Drosophila melanogaster: one gene and its partner. The protein of the gene in region 2 purifies or fractionates together with the protein of the main gene of each other region. This does not show direct contact. Each region holds a gene or a part of one and is shown on either strand. Other genes may lie near its edges.

Region 1 (5,195 bases), 8.1 Mb from region 2:
AAACCAACTTGCTGACCGCCGGCTCAGTTTGCGCCTCCTGGCACGAACCCAACTCCAGCTGCGGCTGCGGCTGTGGCGTTGCCATGGCTGTTGCGCGTCCTTCGATCTTTGCTATTGCATGTGGGCATCGACAATTAGCACAATTGCTGCTGAATTTTCATAATTTTTCTTTTATTTTAACAATACGAAGCGTTTGTTGTGCTCGCGAGTGCCGTCATACTGGGTGCGCCATTTGTTGTGTTACCGAGTTCGGCCACACTGCGTAAATATCGATATTTTTCATGTTGCCGATAGCTTTTTTAAACCAGATTTGCATTTTACAAACATTTTCTAAACATTAAATAAATATATAAAGAAATTCAAAAATAATTGTAAAATCACAATATTTGGAGTGTTTATTTATTTTCTCCAACCTTAATAGCTCAACAAATTAAACGCTCTCGAAAAGATTATCAAGGTAATTATTATTTACAAGATGCGATAGTTAACTAAGGAATGTCATTTTAAGGTTTCAATTTCTTTTCCAGCACCCGCGTCCACAATCAATGTCAACTGCCCTTTGGTCGGATTCACCCACGCAGCGGGAAACTTCTTGTCCAGATCGACAAACACACTCTAAAAAATATAATAACAACAAAAATAAACCTTACAAATGAAGTTTTTGAATTGTGGTTAAAAATATCAGATTTCTTGCTCATATTCTTTTCCATCTTATCAAGCTAAAGAGACCTCACCTTGACGACACTGGCTTTTGCGGCGCCCGTAACCACGAAGGCGACATTCCGTGCCTTATTGATCAGCGGCAGGGTGAAAGTGATCCGCTCGGGAGGCGGCTTGGGCGAGTTCCGGATGGGGATAACCAGGCGCTTGGTCTCCTGCAGGGTGGCTGGCTGCTCGGGAAAGAGGGAGCAGGTGTGGCCATCGGGTCCCATGCCAAGCAGCAGCAGATCGAAGCGATCGACTTGACTTTTGACCTTCGCCTCGTAATCTGCGGCGCAGGCGTCCAGCGGTTGGCTGGTATCGGCGCGGACGAACTGGGATTCCTGGATGCAGGGCAATTGGGTTAGCCACTCGGCCCTGTAGGCACCATAGGTGGAATCGCTGTCATCCAGGCGAACATACCGCTCGTCACAGAAGAAAAACACCCATTTGGCCGTTTTTAAGTTGCACGATTTCAGGGCTTTCGTTAGCAACTGGACGAGGGAACCACCTGTAAGCGAAACAAGACACTTGACTTTGGGAGCACAAGTTTAAAGATCGCACCTGGCAAGGTCACCCCTCAAGTTTGGCTTATCACAAGCCAACCCACTTGACCTGCATGACCTGTGCGTTGATCCTTACCCGAAAGTCCCACGCTGAACTTATCATGTTTGGCCAGCGCCTCCTGGGAGCAGCGCTGGAGAAGATCGCCCAGGGCCTGGACAAGTTGCTCCTCCGAAGCGGACGGGATTACTTTTAGCGCACCCTTTTTCTCCGACATATTGCTTGATCTGATAATAAAACTCGACTCGACTTCGATTTGTCAGTAATCACCATTCCCTCTCTCAACTATCGATTACCAATTTATGAAATACATTGCACCGTTTGCGACAAAATGAAAGTAAGTAAATCTTATACGAAAACATTTCACTACCTCTATTCGTAAAATAACAACTTATTTGATATTGAGCAAAAAAGGAGTGTGTACGTGTGTGCTACAACTATATAATATTTAAAGTAAGAATGAGGTAACTCTCTTCAAAACAGTCCAATAAAATAATATTGCATTCTAAAGTTTAACTGCAACAAAACAAAAAATAGCCAATAATCTTTAGATTTATCGCGGTTGTTCTGCGCTAGAGTGTCATCACTGATTACGACCTGTGCGATAGTTGGCCCGCCATCATCGATAGACCTGTCAGAAATTAAGAAAACAATATCAACATCAAGCGAATATACTTCGCTCGCTACATATTTCTAGTTAGTTTTCGTAACTTTTTCGCTTTGGTGGCAATTAAATCAAATTTCCTCGAAGAATAACTTGTAAAAAGGTCGCAAACATCCGTCCAGTTTCTGCCAACCATCGGCCACTGGCTATCGAAAGAAGATCGCTAGTGAATTAAATTTCACAAAATTGCGTTGTACTTTGGCCGTGGAAATTTGCCAAAAAACAGCAGCTACTTTGCTGCTATATTAGCAAATAGGTTCAGGAAGTCGAGAAAAATTTTTCCAGAAGTTGGCAGCAGTTTGTGTGAATGCAAAAAATACATCGCACATAGTTTTTTGCCCTCAAGACAGTTTTCTCAGTAATAACAACAGCACCCACACAAACACACAACACCACTCAGCTAAAAACGTGCTGAAATTCGCATATCTTTTTGTTGCATACGTTTTTGAGTGAATATTAGTAAGATGCCCAAACGCGGCGGTGGCAGTAGCCAGCGGTACAACAACAACGTTGGAAATGGCGGCGGACGTTACAACGCTCCCGAGGATTTCGATGATTTTGGTCAGTACACGGGAGTGCAAGAAAATGAACCCTCCAGTAACCTAAATATAATGTATTCCTATAGATGTGGAGGATCGCCAGCGACGCAAGGATCGAAACAAGCGGCGCGTCAGCTTTAAGCCCTCCCAATGTCTACATAACAAAAAGGACATCAAGCTGCGACCCGAAGATTTGCGTCGATGGGACGAGGATGATGACATGAGCGACATGACCACGGCCGTTAAGGTGCCCACCAACCCCACATGTTATCCCTATGCACATTTCTAATCTAATGTATAATTAATTCCAACAGGATAGACCCACCTCCCGACGTCGGGGATCGCCCATTCCGCGCGGCAAGTTCGGCAAACTGATGCCCAACAGCTTTGGCTGGTACCAAGTCACGGTGAGTTTGGACTACCATGTCATATAGATATCATAGCCGCAATGGCCCAGACCAAAATCATGTGATTTAATAGTAGTTTTATTACTAAGCTAAAGAAGCAAAAGCATTCAGTCCTCCAGCACCTGTTAGATTTATAACGTTCGCCATTATACAAATTAATCGACTGTTCTACTGGATGGCTCTTCTTATGCGAAGTACATATATGTTAAATGTAGTTTTAAGTATTTAGATTACTAACGTCACATAAAACTTCCAGAAGTTTGCTCCAGTGCTCTACTAATTTCCCGCCCCTACATAGAACTACAAACCCCAGACTGGTCCATATAGATACCAGATTTACGACAGCAGTCATAGAACTATTTTTGGTCTCCAAGAACATCATGTGATTCGTCTGATGGCTTTTTTTTTTTGTTATTGGCAAAAGATCGCGTTGAGGGAGCAAAGTATCCGGCAAGAATCGCATAAGTTACAGCGAAATGTTGAGACTTATTTGTTTATTTGTACACTGCTTCCAAAGCTCCAATGCCGACTTGCCGACTGGGCTCTTTGTGTTTATTAATTAATTTCCCTCGTAAAAATCGTAAAGCAAACAAGCCAAAGTTGGGCCGGGGGGATACCAGCTCTACACAGCTAACGACAATCGGGTACTACAATTACAATTGCAATCCGACGAGCGGGCAAATAAATATTTATGGATGGCTAAACACAGTCGTCCACAGTACCAGCCACAAGTGTTTGTCGGCACGAGCTAAAAGTGCAATGAAGTCGAGCCTTTGGTGGTTTGACAGTTGCCATGACCCTCACCTAAATGGTTTCCCATTTTAAGGGCTTGCGGGCCTGCGGTTGGGTTATCCTTCGCCTGGTTGTCACCCTATCCAGCCGCACGTGGTGCAACACAACAGGTCGCTATCTCTCGACGGGGTCGTAAATGCCATAGTAAAATGCCCAATGCTGACTCTCCACCAACAAAAGCTTGCGGTTTCATTCCGTTTGGGCCTTTATTTCATCGACGGCCGGCAGACGGTGAAGACGTGTTCCAACGTCCGACGCCCCATAGAATATATCGCTTGAATCTCAAGAGGCCCGATTAGGGGCAACTTATCAGTTTGGAGTGATTAGATGTGCGACTAGGGTTCCGTCGGGAAAATCAGCCTAACACGTGCCCCACTTAAAACCCGGCATCTGCAATGGCTACTTTGGGCGCCTGGGACTACACGATCCTGGCGGTGGTGCTGATCATCTCCGTTGCGATTGGCATCTACTACCGTTTCGTGGGCGGCAAGCAGAGCACCACCACCGAATATCTTCTGGCGGATCGTTCCATGAACGTGGCGCCTGTGGCCTTTAGCCTGATGGCCAGTTTCATGTCGGCCGTCACCATATTGGGCGTATCCATGGAGAACTACCAGTACGGTACAATGTTCGTCGTGATCAATCTGTCGTATGTGTTGTCCACGCCGGTGGCCGCCTACCTCATCATTCCGGTCTTCTATCGCCTAAAGACGGCCAGTGTGTACGAGTATCTGGAACTGCGGTTTGGCTATGCCACCCGATTGGCCGCCTCGCTGAGCTTCTCGCTCCAGATGGTCCTATACATGGGCATTGTGGTCTATGCGCCGGCTCTGGCCCTGGAAGCTGTCACTGGACTGAGCCAGGTCTTCTCCATCGTAATTGTTGGAGTCGTGTGCACGTTCTATGCGACGCTCGGCGGAATGAAGGCCGTACTCATCACGGACATCTATCAGTCGCTCCTCATGTTCGCCGCTGTCTTCAGTGTAATCATCTGTGCCTGGGTGAAGGCGGGCAGCTTGGAGGTGATATGGCGCGTGGCGCAGGAAAACGGACGCATCAATCTGACCAACTTCAGTGTGGATCCAACGGAACGTCACACTTGGTTCACCCAGATTTTAGGCGGATGTGCCACCTATTTGGCCATCTATGGTGTGAATCAAACGCAGGTCCAGCGCCTGATGGCGGTGAAGAGTTTGAGTGCCGCTCGAGCGGCCCTGTGGTGGTGCCTGCCCATTCTGTGCCTGCTTAGTCTGAGCACCTGTTTCTCCGGTCTGTGCATCTACTGGTACTACCGCGACTGTGACCCGCTGCTGGAGGGTAGAGTCAACTCGCGCGATCAAGTGATGCCGCTCTTTGTCGTGGACACGATGGGCGAATACACCGGTTTGGCTGGCCTCTTCGTTTCGGGAATCTTTTGCGCCAGCCTCTCCACGATTAGTTCGATAATCAGCTCGCTGGCAGCCGTCACCCTGGAGGATTACCTCAAGCCCTTGGTCAGCTGCTGTGCCAAACGCACGCTCACCGACCGTC
Region 2 (4,690 bases):
ACGATATTGGGCTGTGGTTTATCCCTAATGATCACGATTTTGCCGCCCAATTCGACATAGACCATCGGAGGTGTTGCCTCCGGCGACGAGCGGCTGCCATCGGGGCTGAAGGCTAAGCTGGTGTTTCTAAAGCTACGCCGTTTGCGCTCCGTCCACTTGAGCTGATCGAAATCTTCTCCCTCATACTCATCGTCGTCGGCATCCAGTGACACCTCGTCGGAGTCCTCCTCGCCATCGCCCTTCGACTGGGAGGAGGAGGAGTAGTCAAACTGCTGGTTCGGACGTGAGACCACAACACGACCACTGCGCGTCACCACGGGTTGATTCGAGGAGATGTTCATCTCGTTCAGATTCTGGTAAGCTGCGTAGTAGCAATTTAGTAAATGGTTTAGCTAGAGCAGGTGCCCCTAAGGTTGCAGATCAATTCGACCTCTTACTCACAAATCTTTTTGGCCAACACATCGCCCTTGGTCTGCGGCGATCTGCGCTTCGCGCCCAGTTTGTGTGTCTTCATGTCGGTTTCAATGGCACTAGGATCTATTGCATTCGCAGTGTTATAATTATTATTGTTATTACTGATTGATCGGCACTCACTGCTGCTGCCCGAATCAAGTGAGAGATCGATGTATGAGGAGTCCTCGGTGAACTCCTTGCGCAGTTCTTCGAAGTCGGAGGAGTTACAGAGCTCGGACGAGTGAAGGAAGCTGCACGCCGTAGCTGAGGAATCATCGGACACTAGTATTATGCTTCCGCTGTCGCTGTTGACGGTCGCAACTGAAGCATTTTGATGGGCTTCCACCTGGGGCTGGGATTGGGGCGTCTTGCACGGCAACTTCAAATGAACCAGTGCCAATTCGGATTGACTGGCCGGCATGGGCGCTGGGTCGCAGCCAATCTGTGCGTTGTCATGGTCCTCTAGTTTCCAGTCCTGGAGCAGGCCGGCCAGAAGGATGTCCTCCGAATTGGCACTTGGCTTCGCGGACATTTCGAATGCGAAATCGAATTCGTTATTTTGTTTGCGGCTTTGACTTTTTTCGATTTGAGGTAGCGGCGTTATTTTCCTATCGTATATCGACACAAATTGCTCGAATGCCAGTGCTGAAAAACAACGGCACGAGAAGCTCTGTAAACGGCAATGTTGACTGATAGCGGGAAAGTTTGAGGCCGGTTATTGGGATGACTTAAAAAGCACAAGCACAGCTAGTTGCCTGCATGAATTTAGCTTGGGCTGCCCGATATCCCATATTCCCATAACCAGACCCACTTACCTTTTTTGGCGTTCGGCTCGTCGTCCCCGCAGCCTGGCCAGAGACGCTTCACGGCCAACTTCGGTGTCTTCCCCTCGCCATGAATGGAACCAGGACCTGCATCATGAAAACGAAATGAAAATGCAGGTGTCAAGTAGATAACATTGTTATTACCTATGTCCCACAGCTTGCGGCTGTGCAGGTTCTGCAATTTTGTGCTCTCCGTGGTGGGCACGTCCTTCTGGCCCTCTCCCGGCGTGGAGGTAAGGAAATCGTCTGAAATCCTTATCAGCGCGCCCGGTATCTGATTGGGTGTGAATAGGACATGGGATTGCGACGCCTTGCACGCGGTTACATGAAATCAACCAAATGGGCTTAGGATTGACTGACCTGGCTGGCGACTGGTTCACATCCTACCTGTACGCCACTATTGTTCAACTGTGCATTCATCCTTTCGTCCGGAATCTTTAACTGCTGTGCAGAGCTCTCGAATGCCATCGTACTGGCAATTTCGCGTCTGTTGCCGCGTTACCTATGTGGCGGTAATAATCGTCTATCGTTTTTCTAATCCTGGCTAGTGATGAAAAACATCGGAGAAAACTTTTGAGCGTATGGGATGTTAGCTATTCCCCGCCAAATTTTGTTGGTCACACTTCGAGCTCTAGTGCTTACTGTTCTGTTTTTATCGATATCAGCCTGCGCGTGTATCGGCCTATCGAGCTGCAAACGAATAAATAAATAAAAATATAAATAAATCAATTGAAAGTGATATTATAAAAGCAAATTAGGACGTTGGGCAGGAAAAAAACGCCGGTAACAATATTGCAGCGCCGGCGTTTAGGTGAAGTCATTCGTTTAGTTGCAGCAACAAGAAATAGCCAGCAAGATGGGACGCCGCTCCATAAACACCACGAAGAGTGGAAAGTACATGAATCCCACGGACCAGGCGCGTAAGTATGATCCTTTTTAGCTCGATATGTTGAATCCACCATGCTGCACCTTTCAGGCAAGGAGGCCCGCAAGAAGGAGCTCAAGAAGAACAAGAAACAGCGCCAAATGGTGCGGGCCGCCGTTTTGAAGAACAAGGATCCTTCACAGATACTTGAGGAGATGGAGAAGATCGACGAGATGGGTGAGTAGTCCATCGAGCCTGCAGGATTCGCGTCAGCCACTCATGCAGCGTCTACAATTTGCAGAGTACAACGTTCTGCAACCATCGCCGCTGAACGAGAAGGTGCTGCGCGACAAGCGCAAAAAGCTGAAGGAAACATTCGACCGCGTAATGCGACTCTATGTAAGACCAACTCGGCACGATAATAGTGTAGTCCACCTAACAACTGAAATATCCATCTTCCAGCACAATGACGAGCCGGAGCACTGGGCGGACCTCAAGCGCAAGGAGGTGGAGTATGAGAAGAAGCGCCTGAAGAAGCAGCAGTACTACGAAAGCGTTAAGCACGCCCAGAGCGTCCAGATTGACGAAATTCCACTGCCCGCTCCGGTGTCTGCCGTGTCAGGCGGTTCTACCGAAACGACTGGCGGATCGGTGGTTGCGGGATTCGGCGCATCCGTTGTCATACGCCTTCCCCCACCGCCCATGACAATGGCACTGCCGCCTTATGCTCCAGGCGCTCCACCAGGCGTGTCCAGAAATAGCGATTTAGCCAGCGAGGCGCAAGTGGAGAAATCGAAGGAGAACGAGCAAAAGGATTGGCTGGGTGTCCCGCCGGGACCGCCGCCAGATCTGTTTGCCTTTTCCGAACTCAATTCCGATGCCGAGGGAAATACTGACTACGATGGTGAGGGCGAGGAGGAGGAGCCAGAGCCATTGAAGAAGGGCAAGGATAAAGAGAAGGACAAGAACAGCGAGGCCACCGAGCCAAATAACCAAAATATCGACGACTTCATGAAGGAAATGGAGCATGTGCACAAGCGTAAGCATCGAAAACTGGCGGCTAAAGAGGACGAGGCCGACAAAAAGCGGGAGGAGGACGATGGGAAAGATATAGATAAGATAGAGGAACGAACATCTGACTCCGATAAGAGAACCGCCAGCAGTACGGACGATGAGGACGACGATGACCAGGATGAGGATGAAAATATGCCCGAAGTGCCGACCAAGCCAGCATCAGTCAAATCATCTACAGCGACACCCGCGCCAGCTCCTCCGACAGCGCCCACATTGCCGACTATTCCGCTGCCACCAGCGTCGTCTGTGCCTGCGCCGCCACAGCTGCCACACCTACCGCCAATTCCTAATCTTGGGCCACCTGGCATAATGTACCGACCTCCACCCATGCGACCTCCTCACCCGGGTTCCGGCTTTGGCATACGCATGCCACCTGGACCGCCGCCAGGACCCAGGGCACCGCATGGCCTGGGACCAATACCGCGCATGGGCATCAGGATGCCACCAGGACCGCCGCCAGGTCTGCCTCCGCGCCTTGCGCACCACAATAAGCAGGGAGGCGGCGCAGGTGCACCAAAGGAGTCAGCCAAGGGTGTGGCCACTATTACAGCCAAGCCACAAATCAGGTGGGTTCGATGACTTTCCGGCGCAGTAGAACCAATTCCCATTACTAAACATTCCAAACTTACTCATTAGGAATCTGAGTGCGGATGTCACCCGCTTTGTACCGTCCACGTTGCGAGTGAAGCGCGAGGATCAGCGACGCACGGCGAGGCCCAGGCATGCGGCCAACGATGGACACCACGCCCACTCCGAGGCGCACAGCAAGCCGCCCACCAAGGATGACGCCTATCTGCAGTTCATGAACGAGATGCAGGGCTTGCTGTAGCACGCAAAAGGAGTCGCGTAGTGGTAGCTGAGTAGTCTAAGTCCTAGATAAAACGTGTCATCCAAACCAATACCAAACCAAACTCGTTTCATTCGCAGCTTGCTACGGACTGAGATTCAAGTAACGAACGTGTGTGGAGTATAATTTGTTTTTTTTTTTTTATTTTTTATTTTATTTATTTCGGTTTTAGTACATATACAATAGATTAAAACATTTGCTATATTTACATGCTTTCAACTCTTGCGACTGTTGACGAATTAGAAAAGGCACACACACGGAATCACTACTTGCCATTGCTTTGGACCGGAGAGGTCGATCCATCCCTGACTGCCTTCTTGCTGAACGGGCGCAGCTCCACGATATCCGCCTTGAGTGCCCGGAAGCTTCTTCGCAGCGAATCCGACACCTTTTTCGTGTAACTCGTGCTGTTGCTGCACTGGGAGAGCTTATCGTCGCCATTTCCATTGCGCAGATCGGCGGCCAGCGGACGCAGCTCATCCTCCGCGGGCGTGGCATCGTTCAGAGTGTTCCGCAGATATTTCCGATTGAAGTGCAGCTGCGGTGTGCCCCACTTGCGCTCGAGCTCCACACCGCCGGCTCCGTCGGCTCCAATGGCCCCAGCGCCGTCGGCTGCAGCCGGATCCT

Evidence for each region.
Region 1: the proteins of CG2685 (region 2) and sbr purify together in Drosophila melanogaster (affinity purification with western blotting, with the first as the bait; one study listed by BioGRID). This does not show direct contact.

What each region holds. Positions count from the first base shown.
Region 1 is NC_004354.4:10,843,785-10,848,979, reverse strand, and holds the start of sbr (small bristles), read left to right. Parts: upstream 1-1,887; 5' UTR 1,888-2,391; coding exon 2,392-2,488; intron 2,489-2,552; coding exon 2,553-2,713; intron 2,714-2,780; coding exon 2,781-2,873; intron 2,874-3,898; exon of another isoform or gene 3,899-4,060; coding exon of another isoform or gene 4,061-5,195. Other genes in the region: CG2202 (uncharacterized protein), read right to left, coding at 1-85; Pgls (6-phosphogluconolactonase), read right to left, coding at 499-615, 735-1,210, 1,342-1,480; CG32669 (uncharacterized protein), read left to right, coding at 4,061-5,195. UniProt on the Drosophila melanogaster protein: Mediates the export of the majority of mRNAs from the nucleus to the cytoplasm. In ovarian follicle cells, plays a role in transposable element silencing regulation by enabling the nuclear export of flamenco (flam) transcripts and subsequent piRNA biogenesis.
Region 2 is NC_004354.4:2,711,185-2,715,874, reverse strand, and holds CG2685 (uncharacterized protein), read left to right. Parts: upstream 1-1,914; 5' UTR 1,915-2,133; coding exon 2,134-2,197; intron 2,198-2,253; coding exon 2,254-2,379; intron 2,380-2,443; coding exon 2,444-2,541; intron 2,542-2,604; coding exon 2,605-3,782; intron 3,783-3,852; coding exon 3,853-4,045; 3' UTR 4,046-4,119; downstream 4,120-4,690. Other genes in the region: CG2694 (uncharacterized protein), read right to left, coding at 1-361, 442-537, 595-1,098, 1,269-1,364, 1,422-1,587, 1,665-1,745; CG2681 (uncharacterized protein), read right to left, coding at 4,329-4,690.